Linked DNA regions of Drosophila melanogaster. The protein of the gene in region 1 interacts with the protein of each later gene in a pairwise test. Each region holds a gene or a part of one and is shown on either strand. Other genes may lie near its edges. The genes, in order: Sox102F and pdm2.

Region 1 (16,962 bases):
CTCAAGACTTTAAAACATGGTGGACCTAAAATCCTGGTGTAGGCTTTTTTTTTACAATGGTATGAGTCCAAAACATTTGATTTATGGTATTATACACCAAAACGCATACATATGTAAATATACTAAGTAATGTCTTACTGTCATGCTCTGAATGGAATATGCCCTTAACATTGACATTCCAACAGGATAATGATCCGAAACACACAAGCAAATCGGCTAAGAATTGGTTCACCTAAAATAGAATAGAGGTAATGCCGTGGCCAGCACCATCTTCCGATTTAAACCCGATTGAAAACCTGTGGGGGACATTAAACAATATGAGTAGAAGAACTCCCCGACGTGTAAGGCTCAGCTTTGGCAAGTTTTACAGGATGGATGGTCAAAAAACCCCAAACGTTGCCAGGATCTGCCCATTAGAACTGTATCAAAGGATTTTGTATCTTAAACTCGTAGGTCCCAAGCACTGCTTCAATTAACACAGCTGTACATACATAAAACTGTGTATACAGAGGTGGTCAAAAGTATTTTCACAACGCACAATATTTGCAAACTTCAACTTCTTTTTGTTATATTTCTTCTTGTTGTTGTCCGATTTGCCTGAAATAGTTCTTATCGCTTAGCTTGATCTATGCAGAAGGTAGTCGAAAAGAAATACGAAAGATAACGGTTCATAGTACAAAGCTTAAAGCAAAAGAAAATATGCATGCAAGTTGTCAATAGTATTTTCACATGTTTATTGCGCTTCAAAAGTATTTTCACTCAACTTAATTTAGTAAATTTCAGCTTAACATCTAATTTCAACATAAGAATTTCTTTATTTTATATAAATACAATACTAATATTTTGTAACACCACCTTTGGCATCAATAACTGCTTGAAGTCTTTTTGGTATTGACCTTACCAAAGTTTGTGCAAATTCTAATGTCAATTTGGACCAAATCTCCGCTATTTCAATGATGGCTCCCTCTCGTTTTCTATTTTTATCAATAGTTCGTTGGTTTTTAATAAAAGCCCAAACGTTTTCAATGATATTAAGGTCTGGGCTTTGGGGGGGCCACGGAAGAACCGCCAGATTAAGGTCGTTTAAAAATTTTGTTGGTATCCTACCCTTATGGCATGGAGCATTGTCCTGCTGAAGAATCCATTCAGTAGTTGGAAAAAGTCTATTTCCAGACGTAAAAGCATGGTTGTTTAAGATAAGAAGGTATCCGTTCTGATTTAAAGTACCTTCTATCGGTACCAAGTCTCCGAATCCATAATAGGAAAGACATCCCCAAAACATGACTGTGCCCCCACCAAATCTATTGGTTGGCTGGGCTGCCAAATGCTTTTGATTATTTTTCAAATGCATAAAATGCTTGCTGTATGACCCCTGGTACTGAAATGCAGACTCATCAGTCCATAAAATATTAAACCAAAAGTCAAGAGGCTTCTTAACATATTCCAACGCAAATCGAAGACGTTTTGTTTTGTTGGTTGGTGTGATCTCAATCGTTTTGCGAACAAAGTATGTCTTAAAATCAGCTTCTTTTAGCCTGCGACGAATTGTAGAACTACTAACTTGTTTGCCAATTGTATTTTTTGATTCTAAGGCAATTTTTACCGGACTGGCACTAGGATTCTTCGCCACAACTCCAAGTATTTGCCTGCATTGCCTTTGGTCCAGCACAGGTTTTCGGCCTGATCTTTTTTTATTTTTTAATGTGCCAACTGTATCAAACTTTTTTATTAAGTAGTAGACAGTTCTACGCGAAATTTGATATATTTCAGCTATTTTGGCCGCAGGTGTACCGGCTTTAAACCTAGCAACAATACCAGCCCGGGCCTCAACTGTTAACTCTTTTGTTTTGGGCATTTTATTTAATAACTGTAATAGGAAAATGATTAAATCTAATTTTTATTCAATAATTTAAATGTATTTAAGCAAACAAACCGGCACTTGTCACTCTAAACCAATCACTGAAGAAGAAATTGCGTTGTGAAAATAATTGTGATGCGACGAAACCGTGTGCAAATACTTCTGACAACTGATAAAGATCTCTTCATTTGCCTCTTCCTTGCGCATAGGAACAGTTATTTTTTCAATTCTTCTTTCATCTGACTCTGCATAGGTTTGAATTTGCAAAAGCAAAAGTTTTTTTGCATTTCACCTCCCCCCACTTGCTGCACAAGCAACTGTTTGTGACCCATGCACAAAAATGCACTTTGTGAAAATAATTTTGACCATGACTGTATGTACCTTTACTTCAATTGCCGAGTCAGCTGTTACTCGTAGAGTAGAAGGGTATACTAGATTCGTTGAAAAGTATGTAACATGATCAGGATCAATAGCCGTGTCGATCTGACCCTGTGCGTCTGTCCGTCCGTATGGACATCGAGATCTCAGGAACTGTAAAAAGCTAAGAGCTAGAACTGTAGTAGCTAGATTCTAGAGACATAGACGCAACTCAAGTTTGTTAAACTGATAAGCATGCTGCCACGTCCACTCTAACGCCCACAAACCGACCAGAACTGTCACTTTTGAAAAATGTTTTAATATTTTTTCAAATTTTTTATTAGTTTTGTAAATTTCTATCGATTTGCCAAAAAACTTTTTGCCAAGCCCACTCTAACGACCACTTACCGACCAAAACGGACACGCCAATACCAAAGACACTAGAATATTGTAGTAGAATCTTTGCCCATACTATTGAAAAATGTGCTGATTTTTTAAATATTTTTTTAGTCATGTTAATTTTTATCGATTTGCCTAAAACTTTTTGCCACGCCCACTCTAACGCCAACAAGTAACACAAACAAAAAATGTTTTCTTATTTTATTCACAACATCTAAATCACAGAAAAATTATGAAGTTACGCGCAATAACATGAAACTAGAAAGTTGAGATTCACCATGCATATTCTAGAGACCTATGATTCAAGTTTGTTTCGAAAATTTTACTACAAACTGCCCAAGGCTGCCACACCAACAGTTTTGAAAAATACTTTTTTTTCCTCATTTTTATATAAGTCTTAACAGTTTCCATCCATAGGCTGCAAATATTTAGTCTCGTCCACAAACGGCGAAGGCTCCCATGCCGACGATTTCGTATATATGTATCATTTTCTTTTTTATATGGTTGCCTATGTAAATATAATAAACTTATTTTATTTTAAACAGGTCGAATTGGATGGTCTTCGATAGTGTCACCAATGTCGTTTTAGTGTGAATGTTAAGTAGGAAATGGCGCACTCTGACATATGTGCTTTACAGACGACCACTGCTGACCAGGATCAGGGAACGTCTTCAAGGGACAGCAATGTTCCCAAGCCGTCTTTGCCCAACATCTACCCACTTGGAACGACAAGAACTTCACAAGCTCAATCAACGACGATGACTTTGGAACAATACCGCCTCCAGCTGTATAACTATGCACTCAATATTGAACGACTACGCTGCCCCCAATATGGTGGGACGGGTGGCAGTGGAGCTAGTGCTCCTTGGTTGCATTTAAGCCCCTACGGACACCATGGCTCAGGCAGTCTTCCATCAGTTAATCGAATGGCCGCTCTTTCAACAATTTCCCTCTTCCCACAAACGCAACGCATTTTTCAACCTGAGGAGCCTAAACCGCAACACAGCTATATTGGTTTGATTGCCATGGCCATATTGAGCTCAACTGATATGAAGTTGGTTCTCTCAGACATTTATCAATATATTTTGGATAATTATCCTTACTTTAGAAGTCGGGGGCCGGGATGGAGAAACTCCATCAGGCACAATCTCTCTCTAAATGATTGCTTTATCAAATCTGGACGAAGTGCAAATGGCAAAGGGCACTACTGGGCAATACATCCAGCCAACATGGAGGATTTTCGCAAAGGGGATTTTAGACGTCGCAAGGCGCAGCGTAAGGTCCGAAAGCATATGGGTCTATCGGTGGATGACGCCAGCACTGACTCGCCCAGCCCGCCGCCTTTGGATCTTACAACTCCACCCCCACCGAGTTCCCAGTCTGCTCTGCAACTATCTGCCCTGGGTTATCCATACCACCAGCACTATATCGGCCAATTCTTTAACAGGAGCTCAGCACCTGGTATGACGCATTATTCCCCACCAGATCCAGCCTTGTTAATGCAACGACAAGAGGCGAATAACCTAGATCAGACAATCCAACCAACTCAGCTCCAGCAGCCACATTCCCATCATCAGCACTTTGCCTATATCAACTCCACCACGACAACAACAATCGCGAATATGTTTTCGCAGACGCGGAAGCGCCAGTTTGACGTGGCTTCGCTACTGGCACCCGATGTCCAAATCGTTGATATTGTCTCTGAAGACCAGGAGTCGTCAGTTACGCCAACCACTTCGGCGAGGACAACAACTCAAACTCATCATACTGTCATTACCAAGCAAACAATACACCGCGAAGTTGTGTTGGGATTAGAAAAACCTGTGCAAGATGCAGACATAGACGCTGATATTGATGTAGAAGTTAATGTCGACGTGGTAGACGATAGCATTATTCCTGATACTGATTCTTATACGGATGGGGAAGACAGGAAAAAAACAAGGGGCACTTTGAAGCAAATATTTTCCATTGAGGACAATAACTCGTACCTAATCGATGGCAGGCTATCTTCATTTGATGCCGATCCCGATCATGACCCCGACCACGATCCAGAAGACCTTGAACAGCACAACTTTTCAATTGCCAGCTCCGCAGCCAGGTCCTTGGGTAGCAGTAGTAGCCAACACGAGGAGTCAAGCTCACTTGAGGAATGTCCTATACAAGAGTGCATTGTCGCGCCCCAAACTGCACTCATATCGTCAATGGCTACTGCGAAAACATCAACCCTGTCAGTTCCCATTTCAGATGCGTATCTTGAACTGAACCAGGTTGATCAACACATGCTTAGTAGGTACTACGGGTCGTATATTGCCGCAGCTGCACGACGAGCAAGTATAGATGCATCAAATACTTCGCGCACTTCCTCTATTACGCCGCCTCCAAAAATAGAAATTCTCTCGCAAAAGTAAAAGATAATTTCATTGGCAAGAAACTACAATAAAAGAACTAATTGTCTAAAGTTATATAACAAACAATATTAAAAACTGACCACCCACCCACAAAATTTCATACCATAAATTTATATTTATTAAATAGAGTTCTTTCAATGTAGACTAATATTTAAACGTGCATAACAAATGTTAAAATATTGTTAAACTTCATAGATTTCAAAATAAATTTAGTGAACAAAACAATTCAAATTTCTGTCATCTTGATATTAAAAAGGTTACATTTTCAGCACGGTTCCAGTTCTAGTCATTACAAATCTTTAGCACACAAAATGCCGGGTCTGACCAAGAAAAATGAGTACTCAAGACTTTATTTTAATTATATCTTTCTGTTTATTAATAAATAACAATTATCAAAAATGCATGGGTCTCAGATACTTTGGGCTACTAAGGAGAATAAAATGAGAAACAAATTTGAAATCGTTTAAAAGTGTGTGGGCGTGACCGTTTTCGGCGGTTTGTGGGCGTTAGAGTGGGGGTGGCAACATGGGTCAACAATATGGTTGGAAACGCTTCCTTCTTAGTCGTACTCTACGAGTATAAGGGATAACGATATAGTCGAGATCCTAGACCATCAAATACCCGTTACTCAGCTAGTGGGTTTGATAAACATAACATTTCAACATTTTTGGACATCGACAGAAATTGGCATAAAAATAATTCATCTAAAAAACCCAAAATGTATAAAATGACAGTTTGAGCGGCTTGTGGATGCTGAATGGACTTGGTTGAAATGCTAATGCACATAATATAACGAAAAAATTATGAAATTATATTTCAAAAGTGTGAGCGTGGCAATTAGTTTTTTTGCAAGTGGATATAAATTTAGAAGACTAATGAAAATTAAAATATCAGCACAATTTTCAAAGTCAAGGTTTTCAACGTTATATTGGGCGTGGCAACACCAGGAAAGAAATTCTTTCTCGCTTTTAGGATATGCCCAGTTCAACTCGGCTATTTATCCTGATTATAAATATATCCTTTTTAGGGCTCTACCTGTTATATTCTTTTTCAGCAAATCTAGTATACCGTTTTAACAAAGAGACAAGAATAATACTGTTTCACCAAAGACACTAGAATAATATTCTAGTGTCCGTCATAATTGCAGTAGCAAAAGTGCCATCTGTTGGTAATTATCTATACCTAAAGTAAATTCACCAGTTTATATGCGCTGCCAACCTGCTTTCTACACTAGTAAAGGGCTGCCATTCTCATTTCTGATTGCAGCGGTTCGTAAATTTTGGGATGGCAACGCCAATCGTCCTCGCAAATCAGGATAGCATTTTTGGAAAAACTGAAAAAATACCGGCGATTTCTGAGAAAGTATCTCTACTAATAACTTACATATGTTGACCTGTACAGCGTTAGAAATCCCGAGGAGAGGCATTCCAACAGGCTTGAGTAGCGCATGGTGTAAGCTCAGGACTATTAGCTACTATTATGTCTTGTGGTTTTTATATAATAATATGTAAAACATCTTGTGTATATATACAAGACGAAATTTATACATTGGGTGTTGCCTCTGCTTCTTTTTAAAACATTATTGGTTTGGTTCAAGGACAACCCTCGCACGCCGAGTTTCAACTTTATCGAAAACTGAGTACTTGATTTGAATAAAATATACATGTATAATAGGGATGGTAACAAAAGTTCAAACTGCGACGTTGGAAGCAAAAGTTTTGGTTCATATATATAAGACGAAATTTATACAATGGGCCTGTGCTACAAAAATTATTATTATTAGTATTCTCCGTTTAAAACGTTATTGTGTTTTTTTGTAGTTCAAGGACAAAGTTTTAAATGTTTAAGGGTACAATACAATAATAAATTAAATGCCTTATAAGAATACCGCTATAAACATTTTTATTTTAAAATACTCAAATGAACATAAAGACGTCAGGAAATTTTTTATGTATTATAACATGTTTTTTAATCTTCCACTTCTTATTATAAATCAAAAAGAGCTTCCTAAAAACTCTTTAAAATAGTTATTTACTGTAAGACGAACTTATACGTTTTTTACCAAATCCTAAATTACTGAACATAGCACAGTGTTAAACCAATCCGAGACATCTATCGAATTAAGCGATCACACCTACCAATTTTCAAAAATTCAATAAATGAATAATCGATTTGATTGTAATCGGAATGCAGGGCTGAGTTTAATACAAGCAGATCTCAAAATATTGTCATGGCCACTCTAACCGTCCGAAATTTTATTAATATTAATATTTATTAATATTTTTCCATTTGATTTGTCTGTACAATTTTTATTGATATACCAAAAATATTTTGGACATACCCAAAATGCGGATTATGACAAAATCATATATATTCCAATATAATCATATAATCATTACGTTTCCGCTTGATCGTATAGTAAGTATTTTATACACTTAAAGTAAATCTTGTTAGCGATCTCAACCTGCGTTACGATATCTCAACGAAAACAGTCGTGGAATTGCAATTCAAAAATATATGGAGACGGAGAACGAAGCGTAAAATTTGCAAAGTATCTGCTGTATAACTGGACGTGCGCAAGAATACCAAACTTCAGACAGAACGCAGAGCCGCGATTGGATAACAAGTCACAAAACCAAATTTCAAATTGAATAACCACGCCTCTTTAACATTATTTGCTTCTCTGCAAAAAAAGAGAAAATTCCGTTCAGAAAGAGAAACCAAACATGTCCAAAAAATTTCTCTTAATGTAAAAACTTAACATATGATTAACATGCAGTTAACAGGCAACAGCAATGGAAGTGGAATTGGAATCAGTGACCAGTGAACATCGCTACACAGTGGTGGTAACATTCCACGTGCGCGGGCTAACCTATGCTGCATAAGACCACACGACTTTGAGTCGGAACAGAATGACTTTTGACTCAAAGCCTGCAATGCACCGATTGCAAAGATTTGGTTGCACACACAAGTTGTACACAATGGATTCTCAGGGTGTTCTGCCTTAAGATCGTGCACTCACACCACTATAGGACCCAACACACTTTGCATGTGAATGCGGTGCACGTGCATCTGCATCTGCCGTGTACTCTGTGTTGTGCATTTGTGTTAAGTGTTAGCTACAAATCATTTCACTACAAATGTCCACTGAGCCTAGTGATGACTCAGAGCGATGTATGTGTATTTTATATTTTCGCAGTATACCGTTCCATGTAGTTCACATTTTCCCTAGCACGGACCAAAGTCAACGCCAAGAAACATCAATTAAGCTCAAACACGCTGAACAGTGCAAAACGGTTTTTGTGCGAATCAAAAATTACTCTTGCAAGCTCCGTGAGCGAGGGGACTAACGCGATGCATCATTGGTAGAGCCAACGGAATTTTGATTAGATACGAAGATGAACACAAGTAGTGTCTTTACACAAAACGCGTATTAGGAACTAGCAATGGGTTGTCTGGAAATCCAAACCAAATGGGAAAATGTATATCTTTAAGCTTATAGCTCGAGGGGTGAGAGCGACTAGGCAGTTTTTGTACGGCCCAGAAATTCCCGAATATGTGCCATGATCCAAAGTATCAAAACGTTTATCGACGTGTCGTTAGGCAAACAAACGGAAAATAATCGGGCGCTGTAAATGTGAAGCAGAAAAATAAAGTGAATTTTCAAAGTGCCATAAGATAATATACATAAATATACGCATCACATTTATATATATTTGTCCTATAAATATCTATAACTTGCCCACGGCCGATAATACAATCCTTGATGCACCTAGTCAAATGAGTACAACTAAAATATATATAATATCAACCGGGTTCCGTAAGAAAAGGTGAGTATACTATGCTTCCCCGCAATGACACTATTCAAATTCCCCATACGACAGTCGTAAAAGATTTCCCCTACCACAACTTTTGGCATTGTTCTTCCAAAAGCTGAGATCTTAGGCCCGCGGTTCGGTCAGTTTTCCCGAATCATCGCGGTTTGTTATGCCGGTTGCTGCTCTAAACAAGCATTGGTCGCGACAGGTGCATTGCCACGCGAGAATATCTTTCGGGAAGGGGAGGGAGGTCTGAGGCAACGATCGGAACTGGAATCGAAATTCGGGCTGGTCGCAGATGGGTTGGAGGATGGAAGGAATGCTTCATGAGTAGCTGGCTCGAAGAAGTTGGAGATCGTATACGAAATGGCTCAGAGTGGACTGGTTTTTGAGGTCGCATGTGCTTGTGTATCCGTGGCCGAATGGGGACAGAAACGAAGTCGTAGATATATTAATGTATTTTATTGCGGATTTCCAAATCCTGTACATACTAATAATTGGAATTCTACATTTATGTTCTTTAAAGTAAGACTCCAGTTTGATTTTGATTCGCTCGAATTCGATCGCGATATCTAGTTTTCATTTGGCACTAATGATATGGGCATTGAACATCTTACACAATTGTACTTGTCGAGCTATTGCTTTTGTTGCCGCTTTCCGACTGTCTACTGGAATTGTTTACTCGTTGTCCCGTGGTGTCACTCTGGATCGCCATAAATTCTGGAGCCCATAAGAACAAAAGGCCGTGTTGCGCATCGTTTTTAGCAGGCTCCTCGGTTACATCAAATAGACAATCAAATGCAAAACAATGATTAAAGCACCACCGTCTTTTAGGCATCACCTTTAATGCTGTGGTTCGGGCAAATCTATCCCAATCTATTGTAAGAAGCGCAACGATGATTATAGAACTGTAACATCTTTTTCTGAGAGTTCAGATAAATGAATGATGGTTTAGGAGATGGTGAAGCATCGAATATATCGTTCAATTCCTTAATGATGTCTTCTTGAGCTTTGTACGGTTTGTAGCTTACACTTTACAATAGTATACTTGTTATCAATTGCGGAGGTATATGGAATAGTTATTTTTGAGCAGAAATACTTCATGCACTTTTAAAAGATCCACAGCGCTTACCCATTTGCACGCACGATCATTAACTTTAACTTGAGGAGTACGTACGGGGGCAACATGACAGGTTGTTTATCCAGTTCTGCCTGAGAGATCTGGCAAAACTGGCCCACAGAAAAATTAGCAACAACGAACTAAGCAAGAAAATAGTTTGCTTTCGGGACCGAAGCTTGAAATACACTTGGAGTCAGTTTCGCTCGTATAGGCATCCTTTCATAATAATTGGATTAAATATTACGCAATTGATCATCGTATTTGGGACAAAGTATACTAGGAAAATATTTTATATCTGCTAAGTGCATAATTTAATTAGAAAGTTATTAAAAATAGAAAATAACTATTCGTCTCTTTAATAGATCTTGTTAAAGTTTAACTACCTATTAAGTGAGTGCATATTTAAATGTTGAAAAGTGTTTCAAATAATGTTGTTTCTTTAACAACATAACTCTGCGTTTCCATAGGATCTAATTTGAAAAGTAGGTTCATAAAAGCTTACAACTAATTTCCATCCCTGCAAACATGCTTTTACGCAAGCGTCTAGATCTTGCAAACTGCAGTGAAAAACATGTTTTGGGTTATATAGATAAAGCCCGAATCCACATAGCCATGCTGCAAATAGCGTCGATCCGCCGGGAGGACATAAGACGACAGTTGGCGGGAATGCTGCATGAAAACTAGTTGTATAGTTGACGCTAATGCTGTTGTTTTTTACGGCAATGTACAAAAAAAAAAGCAACCGAGTCGAAATATCAACAGGTGAATGCGTATCCAAGAAATCAATAAAAATAAAACAGGAAATATCTGCGGATCGACGATGCGAAGGTAGCCTTTTGGCAAGCTAGTAACTAAACCACAACAGCCCGTCCAGCTTTAGTTGTTTAAATATTATTGTTAAACAAAAAACAATTCAGAAATGTATTAATCTAATAAACTATTTGTACCTTACCTTAAACATACTCCATATTACACATAGGGGTGGTTACAAGTATATACGTTAATCGTATAGTATAATAAACATATAAATTTATCAAGACAAGCAGTGTTGATCTGGAAATGTCCGTCCATCTGTCCATATGATTGATATGATTTAGACTTTAAGCGCTGGTCTTAAATTTGTGGAAATACAAAATTAAAAATTTTAAATTGCATGTGGTAACGTAACAAATTTCAAAAAATGTTTAAATTTCGTTTCTTCGGTTATAATTGGTTACAAAATACATAGATGAGTATCGCACACTATGAGACAGACACACAGGAAAGGCTTCCGCGTGGGTTATTTCATGATTGAAATTATTGTTACACATATACATATATTATAACCTATATTATATTTTTATTAAATAAAGTGGAGTTTAATGTACAACCACTAACAAAATGCAATACAAATAAAAGAGCTTCTCATCAGAAATATGCAGAAAAGGCTGGTGTCTAAAATAGCCGCTCTACCACTTCTACATTTTCGAAGCCGTTTGTGAACAAAAAAAATTTCTGGGATTGCAAAGGCTTTGAAAAACTTTATTGACAAATAATATTCCTAAGGTATTATCACTTACTAGGTAATAGATTTGAATTTACTGAGCATCTGATGGTCAAGAATATCGGAGTTACATTTTTTACTTGACCAGATGATGTCAACGGTAAAATCTTTGAGTGAGGAGAATCAAGTCAATACGACAATTGCATACAAAAGTTGTTTTGTTTGTCCTATATGATTTACACTCCCCCACCCACTCTGATTTTAATCAACAGACGATGCGTCTGTTTTCGTATTCTCGAGTGCAATAACATCGCCGCAGAGTGAGTTTCTTTGAAACAATACAATTTGATCAAAACTTTTAGATTGTCAAATGTATAGTCGAAGTTTATATTTTTGTTTTATATTCGCGAAACGCGTAAAAACATTAGCTGTTGCTTTTAAAGAAAACGAGTCTATTACGTTCGTTGAGAACAGGCACAATTAAGCGTTTTATACACTTTTTGTAATACTAGCCGGGCAAATATAGACAGTTTTCCATTGCTCTCGTTCTGTATGGAATATCGGATAGTCGAGGCACTTCACTTCAGCTTGGCCAGTTGATTTTTTTTATTTTCTTTTGTAACAAACGTACATATGTATGCTTGTACAATTTTCTCTTCTTGCTCAAGGCCTTAAGAGTAAAATAAATGAAAAACAAACATCACCGCGCTTCGCATCAAAAAAAAAAAAAAAAAAAAAAAATTAAAAAACAAAGATAACAAGAAAAACAGAAAGAGTTCAAGTCAACGACTCTGTGACCATTGCAGATGCGGTACTGTGACTGCATCTGAGGCTTCGCCCAACGCAAAATGATGCATTGCTGATATCTCATCGATGCGGGGAAACGTAAGGGACCAAACCAAACCACTTCGCTGTATTTTGCTTCTTCGTCTTACACGCAGTTTCAATCTAGTTGCCGATCGTCACTCGCTTTCTTAAACAGTACAACACGTTTTCGTGCGAGTGTACTCAAATATAAAGCCAAAACTATAAAACGAAGTGATACCCTTTTCAACGACATGGACAAGCCTTTTACGTAATGCCTTTAGCAATGCTAGTTCATAAGGCTGAATGTGAAAGGCAGATATTTTATTAGGGGAAGACATTACCAATTAGATTGATCATGGGCGAAAAGTTAGCATAACGGGACCGATAACAGTGACCGCCATAGTTTTTATACCGGTTACTCGTTGGGTGAAACAATATATTGGTACTCGCTACCAACCATATAAACAATACAGAATCTCAATCAGGATCTCTAGCCTGGCTGTATGCGTTAGGAACTATAAAAGCTAGAAAGTTGAAATTGAAAGTTGAAAATGTTTTGATTTTTTTTATTTGTCTTGTCTATCGGGTTCTCAAACATTTATTTTGCCACGCCCATCTAACGACCACAAACTGTCATCCGCACTCTGCCCAACTTCTATCGGTATTTTGGCCACGCCCACTCTTATGACCCAAACCGTACAAAGCCGCCACGCGTTTAATTGTTGTAGCAATAGCTGAGTAACGGAATAATAACAGAATAGTAACGGAATAGGCGAATAACCCGACTATACCGTTTTCTTTTGTTTTATATTCGTTCTTTAAATATAAACATGCATTATCAATTTAACGAATTTTGTTTAAACACCAAAGATTGCAACAAGAGGGAACGCTGTAGTCGAGTTTCCCGACTATCAGATACCCGTTATTTATTTATTTAAACTTCAAACTTGAATTAGCATAAGGATGTGGAAGAGAGATGCATAAAATGAGAACCGCTTCTTATACCTTTGCATAGGGACAATTATATCAGTCAGAACGCAATGAAGGTTTATATATCCTTGATCAGTATCAACAGCTGAGCCTTTATAACTATATAACTAGTCTCTGTCTCTATGTGTCTCTATAAAATCGAATAGAATAGAAAAGCTAATTTTTAATTATATTTGTGTCATCTCATCTGTTATAAGGACAGATATGAACACCAAGTCTAAAATTAACTCATATATTTACCGTTTTAACTTTAAAGTGACTCATTTTACCTGGCGATACTCAATACTAAAAATAACTTTAAAACTGCACATTTGCGGAGTGGGTATAGAGGGGATTGGTTAGGAGGGCGATTTGAATGTATTTATACGTTTTTGTTAGTACATGCATACAAAAGGAGTTGGTTGCATATGCAGAGCAGATGTAGCTCAGATGTGGTTTATAAGCAATCATCTCACTGTCAATCGGTTAAAAGTCTTTAGTTTTTGCACTACAGGGAAAACGAGTTTTAAAACATTTCTTCTTCATTTATGGTTTGTAAGAGATTCTGCTAAAACAGTCAAAGCCTCTTTTGCTCCGTTGCAAATGTGTAACCGAATTACTATCACTTTCATACATAATGTCGTGTTTTTGCATAATTAAGTTCCTCATGATCAAGGACTATTCCATTCTATTTTCTATTCTCATGCAAGACCAAAAGGATTGGCGCACAGCTGCTACTGCCATCGACAGTTTTAAATGAAACCATGAATACTCAATCTATTGAATGTCCGAATAGTCACATTTCAAGTAATTCAATAGCAATAATATAAGTAGGTCCCTATCTGGTCTTTTTATGGAGACACCATATGGAAAAAGATTGCGTTATGAATTTTATCGTAAGTACATTCTGCTTGAAACTTCATACATTATTAGCAACGATTGAAAGGAAAGCAAGCGTTGGAGAACCGAGATAGAAAGTTTTCTTACAGTTTTGATGATTCTAAGATTAAACTCCACACAGCCAAAAATCAATAATCTTGCAAACCTTAATATTTTCTTATTTAGACGATTTTACGTTTTGTTCCAGATATCATATCTTGAGAAATGGATTAGTAATTTTTGTAAAAAGCTTGGCATCGATTGTGTGAAAAGGGTAAGTAGAAAAAGTGCACCTCTAAAAGCTTGTCAAACTTGCAATTTATAATGGGAAGTGTAATTGCTTTTATCATAACTTCTTTATGTGTGAGGTGCGATCGACTAAGACAAATTAAAAAAGCCATGTCATCTTAACGTATATTTATCAAAATTAAAGTATAGTATTAGTGTTCCAAATGGGTGAAAGCGGATGTTTTTGTTGCCTCATAACTTTCAAATGGGTGTGGAAACTATACAATGTTGTTGCTGTAGAACCTGTGTTTTAGAAAATGTTCATTTTAAAAAAATTCTCCTAAATGAAGGCTAGAATCTACGCCAAACTAAATCAAACCAAGTTAAACATCCTTTCAGGGTCAACCCGAGAGACACATTTCATGCTTATTACACTTGTCGCACCCCATTGGGTTTAGCCATGGTGTTATTCGTTCACCCTGCTGATTACTTTGTTTTCAGAAACCGTCATCTGTCCTATACTTAGTATATGAAATCCCCCTTGTCTGCACGTAAATGCAAAGACATTTGTCGGCTTATTATTCTGGACGGTTTTCTTACCACATTTTAACAGTAGCCATGAAGACCTTGAAAGGGGATGAAACTTTTTTTAATACCATATTGATTCGCAGTCATTCAAACGAAGTCTTTAATCTTTTGAGATCTTTCTTTAGTCCTCACAAAACAATAGTATATTTATCAATAAATGTTGGTGCGTGTCGTGCAGTGGTAAAAGTGTCACATAAACAAAAGTGCTCTGAAAATTAAACCTTTCGGACCGACAGGATATTGCTCAGGTTAACATATATGTACATATATACCAAAAAGTGTACTTTATGGGTTTGGAAATGCTTCCTGTAGTGCAATTTTAGCTTATTCTTGACTTAACATAATGATGCTCTTGGGGTATTCAAAAATTATACGAAAGTGCCTATCAACACTGAAATCGGGTAGAATATACATATTGAACGTATGTATGTTACTGCTCAATTCGAGTCTGTAAAGTAATGTATAAGGGTGGAAAAAGGAATGCCGTTCAACAATATTCAAACAGCGCAGTTTTAATTTTAGCAGTCATATAATAGTTATCAATTTAAACAACAAAAAATGGTTAAACTTATCCTCAAGCACTGATCTGCAAACGAGCATATATGAATCCAACCAGTGTCAAGTTATGCCTACAATGTTAAGCAGAGTCTTGCCTATAAGTAAGTATATATTTACTTATGATAGGAAAACTTCCAGTCCTTGTTTCGGAAGGCTGCTGCTAGATAGAAATGCACAAACATAAGCCTACATAAATAATACATGGACCTGTCGGCGGATGGAAGTCTCGACAGCCGGATAAACGGAGCAGAAAATTTAGTCCTTTGTAAGCTATGCGAGGTCCAGTCAGCCTTTTGTTTGCGCCTTTTTGACCAAACAAGTGCACCATCAACAAACAAACAATACACACACAAAGCGCATTCAGTAACAAAACAGTCTTAAACAAAGCAAACCACTCTTTGAACTCCGATTTGTATGAGCGCCTCGATCCCCATTCACTGCCTTGAGTAAAAAGGATTTTACAACTCTCCGTGGTTTTCATATATTCATGATATTAAAATGGTCATAAAGTGCATCATAGTCTTAGTAAGCAGCGACATCTGACAATAAAGTAAATGAAGGTGAATACAATTTTTTGGCACACTCTTGTTCTGGCGAACAGACAAGCGGCGATCTGACAGACGGACGGATTTACACCCGTTACTCATAGGCCAGGTTGGCTGGTCTAGTGTTACTGATCAGGAATATTTATATTTTATATGTTCGGCAACGCTTCCTTTTACCTGTTTTACTTTTCAACGAATATAGCATACCCATTTACTCCACTAGTTATAAGTATACCACGTAAATAATCCGTTCGGTCAACACTTGTCAAATTTTTGTTTAGACAAATAAAGTTAAGGAGGGGTGCCTTAAAATTAAAAAGACCTTTACATCGATGAAAAAACTTTTAAGGGCAATACAGTTAGTATTTAAAAAAAAACCCTTGAATCATATAATCTATTACGACAAAAAAGTTTTATTACATTACAGTGCTATGTGAAAAATTATGAAAAAAATTAAGAAAATATTGGCTAGATACATTCGCATTGTTGCTTTTGACATATACGAGTCCGAAGTACTATATTAAAATTTGATTATACAAATCTATAAAAAGCTTCTCGTCTATTCTTCTTTCCGGGTTGATAAGATCTGTGATTTACGAAAAAGTTCGTTTTTAAAAAACATTTTGTATATTTGATTGCCTTAAATACAGTTGAAGCTGTTTGATGGAATTACATGTTTGTGTTTCTTCAATTTGCAAAGTAGCAAACGGTTCCTTTCAAAATGCCAGCAAGTTTCACCAAAGGACGCTCTTTGCCTTTTCCCCTTAGAACCGTATTCATTTTTAATGCCAGCACGTGTTTGAGCAGCCGCATTAGGTCTACTACCAATGCTCGTAAACAATGCTCGCCACAATCAATAGAACAGACCAAAAGTCATGGGAAGGTTATGACCTCAATTGAAAATTCATTAATGCACCAAAAGGATTTTTTATGTGCTTAGGATGT
Region 2 (16,962 bases), on another chromosome or scaffold:
CTTGTCTAATTGACGCCTTTCCGGTTTGGTTTCTTTGAAATGGGATCAGCTTGGGTTCATGAAGTCAGAACGATCGAAAGTACGTGAACCAATTGTTTTGGGTGAATAAACAAATATGTTGGAAATCGAAGGAAAATGAAACTACGTTTTTCAAGAAGGAATTCGTCATCAAAACTAAAAATCCTGATTATGGTTCCTAAGATATGGTGTGTACTCTTTAGTAAGGTGCTTTATAGCTCTTTCATCATTAAACTATTTTCCAAGCATCTCGAATCGCACTCATCTTCAGTAGCTGCGGGAAAATCCCAGTTCAATGCAATTCAATCAACCACCAACCGATGCATAAAATTTAAATAAATGTTTGATTTGAATTTAATTGCTGCGTCTGGGAGCAGGCAGAACCTGTCTTCTTTCCATCGGAGAATCTCAATTGAATATAAATCAAATGCAACCGACAGCAGCACATCAGCGCGGATCAAAGGGGCGCGCTAATCACACGCTGGGCCAAATAGGATCTAATTTCCACACAAGAAAATCCCATTTTTTTTGATGAGAATATATATGACGAGGGAATACATACATATATGGGGAAACGATCATATGGAGATGCATTTATAGAGAGATCAGGTGCAGTCGTTGAGCATTCAAATTTCGCGCATCTCGGTAAGATAAATGATGCGGCAGGTAGGACAGGTAGAGAAGAAGGCAGGTAACCCAACCATTTCAATTTGAATTTCGACAATAATTAAGCGCACAATGGATTTATTGGGTTTTCCTCATCTGAAAACCATCGAATTGCCGCTGCGGTTCCCGCTGCCAGTGATCCTACAATTAGTCGGGGAATCGAGAAACCGAGGAAGCCACAAAACATACCTAGACCAACCAACCCATCTGATCTCGTGGCAGTTGCAATTATCATAATTATTTTCATTCATGCGGCGATGCATTGAGCATCTCCGTCTGACAGTTCATCTCGGTTCCTGGCGGAGATTGGCGAGATAAATCCGAGAGCGTTCTGAATGAAATCTTTGAGTTCTTAACGCCGTTTCCCTTTTGTTAACCCGGATCTCAGGTTCTCACAGATCCCAGTGGCAGCAAACTTGGGAAACGAGGATGCATCCGAATGTTTTCTTTTTCCTTGCATTTCCGGCACTTGCTGCATAAACAGCATTTACTTTGAATACCCCTATGCAGATGGGAAATGGGCATGTGTTTGTGTTACTTCCTAAGATCTTGATGGAAAAATTGTGCCGAACTCTTTCATGAATTGTATTCTTATATTGTTTTATAAAGACATAATTTGTGAGCTGCATTTGCAGCATTAAATAAAATATTATTGTTTAAAAAATGTATCTCTTCAGTGTCACTTTCTATCTTTTTTTTAGTTTCTAACGTACTAGAATTGGAATCACTACCTTTGGATTGCAGCTAGCAACTAGTCCGACCATTTCCCATCATTGATCTGCCGCAGATGTGGCATTGTATGGAGTTGGCTCATTTATGGCAAATTATGGCTCAAATCGTAATGGGAAGCTTGCTTCAGAGTCGGGTGATGGATAGCATCAAATGCTAACGATCTCGGCACTGAATGAATATCACGAATATCTAACAGAAAATCTAATCAAAGAAACCAACTTCGGTGAGTTACATTTGCTTAAATCGACCTTAATTTCCGGTCGCGTGTTGAACTTATTCGTTTTAGTGCTCCAACCCTTTGTTTTACATTAAATTTTTGATAATTGCGCACTTAAGGAGGTTCGATTTTTTGTGGGTTTTGCATGTCATGTGAGCATTTCCGAGCTGGACCAGAGGAAATGGATTTACATATGAAGATGAATGGTAATGAGTCCTATTTAAATTGGATATTGTGTAAATTGGGGTCTGGGGGCTCGGTTGGCTTTAAATAACAATTGAGGTCACGAAAAGTGTTTTCAAGTCCCCCGAGTGAGATCATCAAACGGCAAAATGGCAATTTCAATAATCGAAAGAAAACAAGATGTTGCAACCCCCTTTTTCCTTTTGGATTGAGCAGCAGGAGCAACAGGATGTGTGGCACCCTCTTGAACCCCTTGTGGTTCTCCTTGTCCTTGTCCCTTAAGACGGATGAAGTGTTTGACAACCCTTTCAATCTTCATAAATGTTCGCACTCGTGGCACCACACTCTGTTGCAATATTAGCCCGGGTCTGGGTCCCTTGTGTCGCATCCTTTTTCTCGGCTCTATCAAGATGACGACGACCCCTTTGCCAATAAAAAATGAAATCTGTTTCGATGCATAAAAAATTGAAAATCCCATAAGCATGCGTTTGGCACGAGTTTTTCTTTGGCATACGGCGCTTCGCCCACTTTTTGAGGCCTGTTTTTTTTTCGGGCCGAAGACCATGAAAAATGGCCGTGCTCTTGTTAACACGTTGTAAATACCTCATTTTTCACTTAATGGGTTTTTAAATACACATATGCATTTGTGTGGATGCTGGGCGGTGGGCTGAAAAGGGTTAACTCCTTTATGGGGTTTTATTGACTCAGGCGGGGCTTGCAAGGTGGATAACTTACAGTCGTTTAAATGGAGACTGAGAATAGAAAATATTATAATATACTATATTTAAGCACTAAAATGCATTATTTTGATTAAGGGGTCCAAAGGTAGTGTTAAAATGAGCGGTGGAGTATAATATATACATTTTAGATTTCTTAAGTGCTACAATTAATAGAATAAATGAAGATATTTAGCTCTTAATAACGTGTACCATCTCCTAAAGGCTTTGGCAACTCGTAAAAAACATTTACAACATTTTCATAATTTAAGAATACCTATGCATTTGCTTATAATATGGCCTTATAATATATGGCCATTCCGATGAGAAAAAGGTCAACTCACCTGAATTGGCTGGTGCTTGCTGGTGGTTCATGGGATGGCAGCTAGGCCTCTCTGGCGGCGACTCCATGAATTCCTGCTTGACTTGTATCTGCGGCAGGCGTAGCAATCCCTCAAAAGCCCGCTCGCTGGTGGGTGGAACTGGTGGGCAGTTGTCTTTAGGGTTAAAGCCATTCAAATGGCCAACGTTAGCGGCATAATTAGCCGGCAGTTGCAGTTGATCGTCGTTCAGAGTGGCTGAAACGCCTTGGCCAGTAATTTGAACATTAACACCTGCTGCCGATGTTGCAGCAGCAAGGCAATGAGTTGCTGCTGTCGGCGAAGTCAGCAACATGGTTGCTGTTGCTGCTGCTGCTGCAGTTGCGGCTGCTTTTGCTGTTGCTGCTGCTGCTGCTGTCTCTGTTGCTGTTGTGCTCAAGTGTTGATGATGGGAATTGTTGGCAAGTGTTGTTGCCAGCAGTAATGGCATAGTTGTTGCTGCTGCTGCTGATGCTGCTGCTCTTGTTGCCGCTGTTGCGTTGCAGTTCGTCAGCAGCAAATTGCGTCGCTTTGATTTATGGCCAACTCAACTGCTCCTTGCTGCCTGTGGCGACTTGTTTGCCGCTCCGGTTGCTGCCTCAGATTATGATATTGACCCATGGACCGCTGGCGATATGTATTCCTCCTTCTGCCTCCTTTGCTGCCTGCAAATGGGTTGATAATTAAAAGTGTCTTCTTCGGCTGAAAGCCTAATTTGCTGTTAACTGCACTTTAAAAAGCTGTTATTAAATACATAGAGCGCTGTGATCTTTACGACTCGATAGCGGAAGTAATTGATTTTTCCCTTAAAATAACTGACCCATCCACATTCCTGTACACGTGACTTTTCACGTTACAGGTGGAAACAGTGGATTTGTTTGAAATCGAACGGATGTTTGTATACCTTATAACTGAGATTAATTAGTTTAGTTTATTAACTGGCTCATGAGTATATTGCATTGTCAGCCCATTCTGCGATTACAAGTTTGTATTTTGATAAAAAAATATATAAGGGTAAAAGTTTAAAAGTTAATATTCTCTTCTAAAAGGTAAATGTAAAGTAAGTTACTGATTAGAAGTTTTACTGTACCTAGCATTGAATGAAAATGTTAATATGTGAGAAACTATATCATTCAGTTAAATAATTACAGAAATTCCATACCACTCGAAAGTAAACATGTCATAAAAGTACATATCGCAATTTATATAGTTTAAATGTTTGCTCTTTTAAATTCGTTTATTGAGCAGTCCAAACATTTCTCTAAATTTTCCCATGGCCTGTCGAATCAGCTCCCACAAGTGAAAAGTGGTTGTATACAACTTTACAGCAGTAGACACCATAAAAGGCACTAAAACCTAAACTTTGTATTATTATGCAAACAAAAAATGGGAGAATGAAAATGGGCACATTTACCAAATGTGGTTTGAAACGAAATTGTTGTAAATTGAAAACAAATTGAAGTCAAATGAGATAAGGAGTGGGTGGGTGGGTGTCGAAAAATCACGGCAAAAGGCGATGAAATCAAAGGAAATAGAAATGGGAAATTAAACTACAAGCGCAACGATCAAATGCCCCGAACAACAAGTCAACTTGGCCAGATAAGATACGGTGCTGAAAAGTGCAAGTGCGTTTATGGAAATGGTTATTTACATACATTACCAAACGGGTTTATGTACATATGAGCCACGAAGAGGCGGGTCGGGGCAACTAACATTAATGGCACTTGTAAACAAATCAATTGAGTTGTCAGTATCGACGGCAAATTGGCCGCAACCAAAGTGCCACACGAAGATTGTTTATCAATTTTGCCAGTCGGTAAATTATGTTCTTTGCATGTCAGCAACCAATTGCCAGGAATCGATATATCTGCCGGTATGATCAAAGCGAACGCCGACTAAATGCAGTCACTTATTCCTCGGTGCTACTTTCAATAATTCCCAATCGGCACGGTAATTCCTTATTGGGCCGACAATATCGGGGCTTTCGCTATTTTTGTTTAACTTCATCTTGTTTTAAAATTAAACACAATTGCTTACTCCAATTGGAAACGTATCGCCGATCATATAATACCGAACATTGCCATTGTGTTTGTCTTCAATTTGGAATTTGTGTTTTCATAATTTTCTATTGGGTGTACACGGTTCGGTTGTAAAGATACGAGGGAACTTAGTTCGATGATGTGATTTGCCTGACTTTCGGTTGAGAAATTGTTTGTCGTGATTATCGATCGAATCATTGCCAGAAGTGGAATTGTAAAAAACCCATAAAAATATATATGTGGCACATCTAAGATAGGGTACACAAATCACAGAAGGTTTATGAAAAATATATGGAATGGAACAAATTTAGAAAAAGTTATTAAACTATCCTTTAAATCAAATACTATATTCAATATATATATATATATATTGCCTCATTTTGAAGATAATTGCTTGTTATTAATACATTTTGCATCTTAATTTGATCTAACCTTAAGATTTTCCATTGTTAAAGATTTGACCAGAACATGGTCACAATTTTGTTATGATTAGCTAAAGCCCGACCAAGATCTCTATGATGGATTCAGTTCGCCCGTCCAACTACCATAGTCAGCCATATCGGGACACTTGTTGGCCCTCAAACACATATGGCCAATTAAGGACGCTGAAATACGCGCAGACACTTGGGAAAGCTCATTAGGAATCTGACAGGCCAGAAGAAACAGTTCTGCCCTCTCTCTCTCTCTTGCGGCATCTGTATCATCCATCTGGCTGATCCATCGATCGCATTGAGTGTGGGCGTTACAAGACAAGCTCCTTGACACACTCAGTGGGTACAAAAGAAAAAAAAGAGTTAAACTCACTTGGGCTGGAAGATGGCGCACCTCCTTACTGGTTTTTCCTCTACTGGTTTTCGCCTGCTGTCACGAATTATAATTTAATTGTTTACTTTGCCACACTTTTATAAATTGTAATTGCCAACGAGAATGGCGACAGCTTCACGCCCTTTCTGCATTTTCTGTGGGCCGTCGAGGTGAGGTGAGGTGATCTCTGTCTTTTGGGACAATTCTCCGAGACACGCTTTTTGATTGACTTCCGACAAACGACTGACTTAAAAAAACGCGCAAGGAGATATGGGCAAAAAGTAAAAAGTGAAAAAAAAGCAGACTAAAGAAAAGAGAAAGAGCAAAAAGAAGCAAAGTTCGCGACGACTTCCGACGACGTCCGACGTATCCACAAAATGTCAAGCGAGTACAAAAAATACTTTTTTTTTATAGAAGATGTTGGAGAGAGTGAGTGAGTGTGAGTGTGCCAGTGTATTGGTCTGTTTGCGATGTGCCTCTGTGTGTGTGTGTGTGTCTGTGGGGGTGGGGAAAGGGAGCCATAAAACAGGTGGAGGGGGTGGTGCGTGGGTGTTTTGGGGCGTTTGACTTCGTTTTTCTTTCTCTTGCTTCTTTTTTTTTACAGGAGGTTTTAAAATGAAAAGCTTGTATTGTGTGGGTGGAAAATAGTACTGCATATGTGTGTGTGAGTGTTCTATATATGTATATATGGGTGGGTGGCTCTTATCGGATTCCGAATTATGTATGTATTGACTGCCGCTGCTTCTGTTCGTTGAGGGAAGAAATAATATGGGGGCTCCTAAGTTGATTTGTAGTTTAGAGCGGCATGAAAATTTCCTCTTGAAGGGAATTGAGAAGGAGAAGAGGAGTCAGGCTCATACGAGTAACCGAATAAGGGTATACAAGTAATTCAGTTTGCAAAATATAATAAAATATATTAAAATTCTTATTGATTCAAGTACTGTTTCTCATCATATGATTCATTATTTATTCGGCACAAGATACAAGATTTTTTGATTTTTTTATGGCCGCTTATATACCAAACCGTTTTCTTTCTTTTATAAAAATAATAAGTTTTATAAAATAAAACATATAATACTAAAGCAGATGATTTTATGGGCAAAACAGATTTAATTCCTTTCAAAATCAATGTTCCGACGGCATTGCACTTGCCAGAAATCACAACACAACTCGCGTTACGCATACGCCCCGTGGACAAGTCGGAATATCAGCGAATGAAAAATGAAAAAAATTGACATTGCAATGATGGCAGAACCGAGAATTATTCGCCGTGCTGTCAAAATGCGAATGTCAAGGCAAAAAACGAACCAAATGCAGACAGATAGCCAACAGAATCCGCTGAACGGCGGCAAAAGGCAAAAAGCGATAAACGCATAAATTAAAATAATTACAAGAGGCGTCCTCAGATTATTGTTGTTGCTGTCACGCACACACAGCTAGTTGAAAAAATAAACAAGAAAAGTCGCGAGGACGACAACCGACAATCGGCCAACGGAGTGGCAACTGAAAAACTGCAATTGAATGCAACTTGACCAGGCCAAAGCATCTAGAAGAAGAGCAGTACTAGCTGAATAAATGGAAGAAGAAGCACCACAAGCAACTGTAGTAACCATACACTTACAAAAATTATATAATATATATTCCAGTCATTTTCTATTGTACCATTTTAATATTTAACAGAAATAAACCTTAAATTCTATATTTTATCTTAACAAATATTCACAAACACGTCTTGGTATAACTTAATTTGGTTTTTATTGTTACTCTAAATAGAATATATTATAATTTATACATTTATATATAAAGGTTCTAAGCGTATTTTAAATACATTTCTTTTACAATTATAAGTAAATTTATAATGTTAATAGGCTTTTAATGAAATTGTATTATAACCAATATATAAAACTTTTCTAAGTGTAGAATCAGTTGATTTTTCTCGGCAACTTGGGATCCACATTGTTGCAACAACGTAGTTGTTGCCGCTGTTGTTGCTGTTGATTTTATTCAAAATGGTTTGTTTATGCCTGAACAGAAAGAGAACGCAAGAGAGAGAAAGTGCGGAGGGAGAGGTAGAAAATCTTGGGGAAATATATCCAACAAGCGCGCTCTCTCCCGCACAAACACACTCACCCAAAGTGGGCAGCCGGCAGCCAATCGGCATGGAGCTTTGGCGCTCTCTTGCGGCGCATGCTCGCTCTTCGTGGGGAGCTCTCTCCATTTCGCCGTTGGCCATTGTGTGTGCATGTGCGCGAATTCGCCGCGGCGTCCAGATGCTGCGGGTGAAAAAAAGAGAGCGAGAGGGCTTTTACCTTTTGACTGCTAATTTCCGTTCATTAAAGTTGGCAGTAGCTTGGCTCGCTCACTATTCTATATGTTCCACTCCCCCATGCCGCCCCCCCTCAGTAGTGAGTCCTTAAAGATATTTCGCCTTGGCCGCAGCTTTAATTTCATTGATTAGCGCCGAGGAAATTCCCTTCTTGGCCCTTTTATTTTTGGTTTGTCACTTCTATTCACTTGTCTGCCCGTCTGCTTGTGTTTTGGTTCCTCTGCAGCCTCCTTTACATCCTCTTTTCCACTATTCTTGTTTTGTAAGCATTTAAGTTGTCGCTGTTTCGAGATGCTTAAATCCAACTAATCGATGGGTTTCGTCTGAAAATGGTTTAGTTTGTGGGGGTAGGTTCTGAAGAGTATGACCCAACTATTCACGGAGTAACTATTTGGTAATCAAAAGATAGTTATGAAATAAAGAAGTTGGGGAAGAGTAAAACTGATGCGAGCGTACTTTTTGAAGATTTTACTTGCAGCACTTGTGTGTACAATAGGTGTACGTTCAAAAAACCTATATAAGGATAATTGGTAAATAATAAAAACTAAAAAATTCTTCTTATAAGCAGTAAAAATGTAATTTTCTTTATTGATATGAAAAAAATATTGTTTTTGTAGCTCTAATTCATATGTTCTCAGGTGTTTACTTGAATATTTAAAAAATGTTATTTTTACCATATGCAGAACCTAACTAACACGCTCGAAAAAGTAGACAACCACCTCTTGAACTGTGCCCTTAGTTCTTCCATTTGGTATTCCACATTCCGTATACGCCCCATAAAACTTGAAAAAATCGCCCAGCCCCAAAATTTCATCTGCCTTCCCTGGCTCATTTTTCATATTGAAGGGCGAGCACCTAAGGACCAACCAACAAAGCTAAGCTGACGGGTGCCTAAGTTATGGTTCCTGCCATATCATCCCCGCGTTCTGTGGAAACTTTTTAGAATTTTGCACTTTTCCTTTTTTTTTTGTGTCGTGTGCTCTTACATATCGCAAACATTTCCTGTCTCTTTTTATTTACATTACCCACCGAGGACGAGGCGACATAAAAGTTGAAAGTTTCCCATGATGTTTATGTGTATATAAATGCTTGCGGGCGGTATTTGTTGTATATAGGGAAACAAAGAGGAGAAATATTTTTTTTCCTTTCCTAAGGCTGTATTTCAACGGTATTCTTTTCGTATTTTTCGTTTCGCAGTTGTGACTTTTCATTTTTCATATGCTGACTGCCTCACGAGCAAACACACACATGCAGGCGGCACACACTTACACCAACACGCAAACGGTCCTTTTTCTCTTTCTCTCTGGGGCTCTTAGTTTTCCATCTCCCTTGGCTTTCCTACGTTGCCCAAGTAAATGGCTTTTGCATTGTAAAATGTTGCATACATTTTCCTCTACTTTGCCTTCGACGTGTACATATGTATATTGTACAAATATATAACCACGTATGGCTGGCATTTACCGTTATACACGGGTGAAGCAGGACAAAAGAAGCTCACACACACAAGGCTCGCCCTCTCACTCGCTCACCCAGTCCTGCCCATGGTATATTTTAAAATTTATGAAAAATAATATTTTTCCATCTCTCCACGCTCGCACACACACACACACACACTTGTGTATATATAGGAGCCCTGAAGGAGTCCTGGGCCATAAGGCGCACAATCAGAATACAATGGCTGCCTAGGGCGCCCAGAGGGGGTGGTGCTGTATATACCACCGCCTTGAGGGGGCGGGTAGGTGCAGGGCAATATGGCACAGTTGGCTTCGCTTGCATTTACGTACAGAGTTGCAGGATAGAGGTGCTTAAGACAGGGTTGCCAGTCTAATAGAAAAGAGTAATGGCGGGATGTTTCTATATTTCGTTTTTATATTTGTTATGTATATATATATGAATTTTATAACACATCTTCACCACGACAGTCAGTCATGTATCTTTACAGAAATCTTTATAATCAAATAACTGTTGAAGATTTGAATTTGTTGCTAAATAGAAAATGTTGTTTCCAAGTAATAAAGAAACCTAAGTTCCTATTTATAGATATATAAATGTAATTAGGAATTGACTAGTTAAATCTGGATGTATTAATAATCCCAAGAAAAGTAATTAAAATTAATATAAGTATAATAAAGAAAACATAAAGTGTTTGTAGCCAAATTAAAGTGTGCATTCCTTAGTTACTATGTATTAATGAAATAAATACAACTGATATAAAATTCAATGAAATCCCCTAATTATTTGCTCGTTGGCAACCCTGGTCACTCAAGTCAAAAGCATTTCCATTATGATAATGTAAGTGCACAATTTTCCCAACTTGAATGCGCACACAGATGCACTCAGTCTGTCTCTCTTCTTGCGCCGTGCCTCTCTATCGCACGCGCACTCACAGTCCACAAGACTCGTTCATTGCGCTTGGAAAATTTTCATATCCTGGCTGGTGCACATGAGAGCATGGAACATGAAAAACTGCACAAATGTGCAGAAAATGTTGCAAAACTACATGACCTGTGGGGGTGGTGAAAATGGGGGCTGTGTGCATGGCAAACCGAAAAATAGAGGTCCTGGTAGCAGGACAACGAAGCACTTGCACATAAAATACGATAACGTTGGACCAAAGTGCTACATATGAAAGGTAGTGCTTGGTAGTGCTCCCCATCTTCGGCTGCTCCACTTTTCCGCCTTGATTTTACCTCCCTGCTGTCACTCTACATACACAAGTTTTAGAGTATAAAAGGCGTTGCCTTGTCCTGAAGTGGGAGGTCGTATATAATTACGCTTGCTCCCTCTTTTGCACCTTAGAGAACCTCCCCACAAATGCATATACGAAATGGAACTATAAAACATGATGGCAGCTTATATAAGCCAAATATTCCCTCTTTTTTTGCCAGCCTCACTGAAACTTTGGCATTTATGCCATAAAATGAAGTATGAAATTGAAAAATCGCTCACAGACAAGTACACACATCAGCGCAGGCCCCTCAATATATTGTGAAATTAATTTTTAAATATTTATGAGACCGAACCGAACTGTACCAAAGGCCACTCGAGCGTTGGAAACTTTTCTATATTTGTTTACGTTGGCATGAGAGTGGCCGAAAATACGTACTAAGCTCGAAGGAGGGGATTTGGTAGGAGATCAAAGCTATTGCCCATTTTCAATTTTGATCAATTTCTTCCCTTTTTTTTATTGAATTTTCAAGTGGAGTGTGCTACAGTTTATTTTGTAGTTTCCTTTACATGAAATGTGGGAGAGAAATTTCATTTCGCTAAACAGAAGGCCGCCACAGGGCGTATGAGTAATGTGCTTTTCGTGTTTACGTTGGCAGGAACTGAAATTGAATTTAATAGGAAAATTACTCTTATTTCCAGGGTAAGGTTAAAAAAGGTGTGTTTAAATTTATACTTTTCTCACTGATAAGAGTAGGAACGGCAATCAATTTTATAATTGAAATGAAACCAACAAATATTTATTCTTTAGTATATATTTAAATGTACTTCTAGAGAACATATGTACATGTCACATATTATTTATTTTTTATCTAACCTTTTTTGTGCACATTTAGATTTTAGATCATAAGAATATCTCTTCAGTTTGCTCACAACTCTTTATCGTATAAAAGTTTGATAGCGATAATGATGCCACGAGTGCAACTCCGCCTTGACCAAACTGATTATGATAATAGTGCGTGATCGAGTTAAGCGCGGAAATTGCTACCTTTTTTATAAGCCATTCTCTTGGCCTTTTTTCAGCTTTGCTTAATAAGCCCGAAGAACTGGGGCCTTAAGAGGTCCACAAGCCAAAAGTCGGGCACACAATCTGGAACCGTGTTGGTGCCTTTGTTCTTGTTGGAGGCACAAGTGCTTAACAAGCTGTTTTGCATGGGGCCAGATCTCTCAGGTGCCCTACGAACCAACGAGCCACCAAACCAGCGAACCACTACCAAAGCCCGGTAGCCCTGAAACAATGCACTTAATGTGGGAAAAAACGTCAAGAATTTGCACGCCAGCCCGTGGACCACAAGAGAATTCGCCAATTTCCCTCGGTTCCTCGTTCCTTCGACCCCAGTTTTTTCATATGCAAAAAGCCTGCACTGAGGCAGCTGCAAGTTAAGCCAAAACTTTATACCCTTTCAAGCATTTTTCTGATAGGGATTTGTTAACGAATACCAAAGTGAAGTGGCTTGCCTTTTGGAATATCAAGTTATTTATAAACACTTACAGAATGGGAAATAAACTGAAATTTTAATGTTTTACCTATAATATTTTAAGAATGTGTATCTTAAACTTAACTTAACTTATCTTAAACTGAATAAAAGAAAGAAATCTTAATTTGAGGGTATTTAAAGTTGCGGTCTTAAAGAAACCATTTATAGGCCTTACCTGCATTTTGAACTTATCTGGCCAACTTAGCTCTGGGCACGAAACAATTCACACTTGGCCAAGAGTTCGTGGTAGACGCGGGCGGAGCGGGGGAAGACGGGGCGCGTTGCGTGTCGGCTGCTCTGTGGCCGCTGATCATTTGCTTAAATAGCCCAAAGGGGACAACGGACGATCCGATTCATTGCGGAATATGGGTGGCTCGGCTCAAATCTCATTTGGCCACAAGGAACAGGACCATGAACCAGAACAAAAAGGTGTTGAGTGTGTGGAGCGGATTTTGCGTGTTTATCGCGATGCACAAGCCAAGAAAAATTATTAAGGTTTTTAATGGTTCAATGGAATGGGGAGCAGTGGCAGTGGAGTACGAGTTTTAAGTTATATATGCCTTATTGTTTTCGGGTTCTAAAAGTGTATGGAAGTAATTACATACATTATTAAAATGACTTTTAATAATTTTCCTATCATTCCTTTAACATTTTCCCAGCACACTCTTCCCTCTTGGTGGTATCTCGTCAGAGATGTTGAAGATCAGACGTCTAACAATCGCCATCTGGGAGAGAGACAAGCAGAATCGAAGCGATTATGAGAATCCCAGTTGGCACCATGACACGATACCAGTGGGTTTTCCATTCCATTCCCTCACCGTTTCCAGGTGTTTTTTTTTTTTAGCCACCCACATAAAAACGAATGTGGTTTACCCACCGGCTGCTCACTGGCGGCCTAATAGACATTTTGCCTATTTTAATAAGTGGCAAAAAGGCGTGAAATAGTGACTGCCTTCGGGATGTTTCGGAAATACCTTCGGTGGGCTCTATCGCAGCCTATCGATGGCAGGAGCTGCAGAATTGGCCACCTTGGTGGCTAAACTGGAAGTTAAAGTTGTTGCCTTGCTCGCCAGCTAAATATGATTTTTTCTGCAGCTGTTTTTTGTCTCTACCTTTCCCCATACCTGACTGCCAGTCCTACGAAAGCACACTTAGCGAAAATTTGGGCAAATAATAGTAGAAGAAGTAGTAACAGTAGAAAATTTGGTCTCTATATAAAGAAGCTAGAAAATACTTTAAGATGCATACTTTTTGTGCCATTAGATTTAATTTCAGTTTAAAATGTAATGCATATTATGTTAACATTGGAATAGATCAAAAAATGTATATAAAATTTCAATATTTTCTTTGAGTGCAATACCTCGAAATGGAAGTCGCAGCTTTAGCTTTAGCCTCAGCCTGAGCTTGAGCCCAACTCCAATTTGAGCTGCAGTCGAAACGGACCACAAGGTGAGAAATGAGATTTTAATCGGACGTGTCTGATTTCAAATGAGCCTTAATGGGGAAGCCATTTAGCCCGGCACTTACCACTATCCGTGGTGTGGCAGTAACCTCCGCCGGAGGGAGGCCTTCCTGCTGTTTTCCTTGGACTCCTCCAAGACCCTACCTTAACTTCGATTCACTTTAGTTTATTTATTTTTATATTTACTTCGTTTTTTGTTGGCTTTGTATGGTTTTTTTTTAGCTGCGGGTCGTTTTGGTTCACTTTCAGCAGAGCAGAGCAAATAAAGTAACATAATGCATTGGGTTCAGCGTTATCAATAGTTTGAGATAAGTATTGATGTTTTCGATTTTAATTGAGTTCAATACTAGACTTTGGTTTTGAATAAACAGTGGGAAAGGCCTTTCGAATGCCAATGCATTTTATATCCCTTTTAACATAATGCAAAAGTAACTTCCTATTAGTAATAAATAATTGGTAAGGCCTACAGATTTTTTTTCAATCATAAGATTTGATGTTGAACATCTAACCAAACAACTTGAAGCTGGCATCAGCTTAAGCATTTTTCCGGCTGCCTTTCTTATCACTATCATTTATCCTTCGCTCACGCAACAAAAAAATGGAAAGCGAACCAAATGAAAGAGCCAGCCACAATTTTTCGCAATTAACTTTTTGCGATTTTTAAATATTATGGAACACGCACCAGCGAGAAAAACTGAGGATGCACACGTGTAAATGGCTACGTAGCAGCTCCCACACAACGAGATTCCCAAAAACCCGGTGCCCCGTCGCCCCTGCGGATCGGGAGCACTTGCCACCAGCACATCTGGGACTCGATTCGGGCAGCCTCCCAGCGATCTGATAAGGTCTTGCAACAGAACCGAGTCCAGCAATTTACCGGCCGAAAAAGATGAAGCTGATCCTAACCTTGCCCAATCCGCTGGCTGCTGTGCGGTCCGATCTTCGCTGGCTTCCGCTAGTAGAGTTCAGTCCTCTCTGTTCCAAAGTATGCGCTAACAAAATAAATATACTAAAATATTATCAAATTGTTTAGTGCTTTATCAAAGCTCGAGGTTTATATTCGTTAGAAAAGAAGTCGTACTTTTCAATAGAACAAGACATTTAATCAATTAATATTTGTTAAGCCCTAAAGTTCCAAAGACTGCTATTTTTCCGAAGTATAGCATATAGGTAACCATGTTTTTTTCAAGTGCATCCCAAAAGATCAGTACTCAGTTTGCTTGTGGCTACAATTTTATTTACGAGTCATGCGCGCGACCGTCGCCTTCGAGACGCGAAAACAGTTTGCCTCCCCCAACTCTACATTAAAGGCTCCCCTTCTTCTTTGCGTGCTGCAGTGCATTTTTCTTTTTTTTATGTTTTTTATTCATACTCATTCATTCATGGTCTTTCTCTGTACACGCACCTAATAATTTTTGATTAGAATGCGCCTCGGATTGAGTTTGGTTTGGTGTGGGTTAATTAAAACTGAAGCAACTGAAAAGATAATTGGATATTAAAATTATGCTTCTTCGTCAAAAAATCCACAAAAATATACGTGAAATTTGTTAGAAAAGAAATGTATTATTCATATAATGCTCTTATACCAAAGTAATAGGTGAAACCCATTAACATCAGTTTTCCTCATCTAAACAACAACGTTAATGTATCCTAGATAAATCTGTATCTACTGATAAATATTTCTAGACTTACTGTATTTTTTTTAATCATATCGAAGTTCCAAATTTCTGATTTTAGAATGAGTAAATTACCTTTTGCGAATGCCGTCGGTAAGTTGCTTTAGGCCCAAGACAAAGTTCCCCGGAACTAGAGATGTTCCCCAAAACAAGTGCAAACTGTTGAATTCAATAACATGCCACCACCCCCATTTAGTGACCTGTCCCACCCCTTTGGCTGACCTCATCTGGCCAACACTTATTTATCTCACTTTCGCTGCAAAACTTGATTATTTTTTCGCGCGAATTTTTCACTTGCACTGTGGCCTCTTCCATTGACCTTCGTGTTGGCCCTCGCAGGGGGAGGGAAACCACACCCCCAACCCAGTACTTTGTCTGCCCGGATTTGTGGCATGTCCTTGACTCCTGCGTCTTGGCCAGCGACTGTGTCCAATTGTATTGTGTTTCCTTCTTTGCAGCCAGTTTTCACTTTTCCGCTGGCTCATAAAACTGCAAGTACGAGTATTTAGCAGTCGGCACTTTCTCACTCTCTCCGCATCTGTAACTTGTATCTCTGTATCTTTGTATCGTTGTATCTGGCCATCCATTCCTATGGGGTTCATCGACTGCACTCGATTTGGCAAATGTCCTGCGTTATGTAAACCGTCTGGTTACATTTCATGTGCCCGTTGTTGCGCTCTGTCATATACACTTAAAACCTACCAAATTTCACGGTAGGTCAACCTAGGTCAATTCTCTCTTTGGAGGTCAGGTTCTAAATGCTATAGATAACTGCCCGCGTCATCAAATTTTCACGGTGAATTAATCAAAGGATAAGGTTAAAGGTTAGATGCAATGGGTTCAAGGGTAGAATGAAAATATTTCTAAAAAATCAGAACATAATGTACTTTCTCTGCTTTTTGACATTAACGCAGGTCAAGTTATGCAAACCGTCTGGTTGCTTGTGATTATGAACAAATTGGCTATTAGGGAATAAGAGGCCCTGATAGCTTGATTGCTTCAATCATTGTACAACTAATTTACTTCTTAATAAGAAGGCCTAATCGGTGAAATTAATATAATAGTAGGTATGTCTGTCTAATCAAATTTCTTGAGTATGAATATTGTTTTCAAAAAAATATAAGAAAGCTCACAAGCGCTGTTTTCCTGCCTCTTAAATTTTACCAATTGCAATAAAGTGTTTAAAATGGATGTTTTCACTCTAAAGCTTCATAGAACACTCCTGGTTGACTGAAACCTATTTTCCCTTGCCTATTCCAAGCCGAATGCCTTCCATTCCCTGGACGAATCACAGCTGCAGCATTCATCAGCGACAATCAGAGGCGTTACCCAAATAAACCAAAAAAAAAAAAAAAAAAAAAAACAGCGCTCGGAAATCGGGATGTACATACGCACAGAGGATGATGAAGGGATAACCATGGTCGGGGGGCCTAGAGGCTACAGAAGGAGTTAACCAGAGGAGCTGGACTCCAGCCACGATTGCCGCCTTTCATTGTTCCGCGCTGTCTACTTTGATATGCATCCAATCACTGCGCGCCATTTGCCCCGATGTCCTGATG

The links.
Region 2: the proteins of Sox102F (region 1) and pdm2 interact in a two-hybrid assay, tested with the Drosophila melanogaster proteins (one large-scale study listed by BioGRID).

Annotation. Positions count from the first base shown.
Region 1 is NC_004353.4:825,269-842,230, reverse strand, and holds the start of Sox102F (Sox102F), read left to right. Parts: upstream 1-7,837; 5' UTR 7,838-8,852; intron 8,853-14,306; 5' UTR 14,307-14,372; intron 14,373-16,962. Other genes in the region: fd102C (forkhead domain 102C), read left to right, coding at 3,223-5,022.
Region 2 is NT_033779.5:12,646,846-12,663,807, reverse strand, and holds the start of pdm2 (POU domain protein 2), read right to left. Parts: upstream 6,644-16,962; 5' UTR 5,735-6,643; intron 3,557-5,734; 5' UTR 3,343-3,556; coding exon 2,877-3,342; intron 1-2,876. UniProt on the Drosophila melanogaster protein: DNA-binding regulatory protein implicated in early development. Involved in neuronal cell fate decision. May act as an octamer-dependent activator of transcription.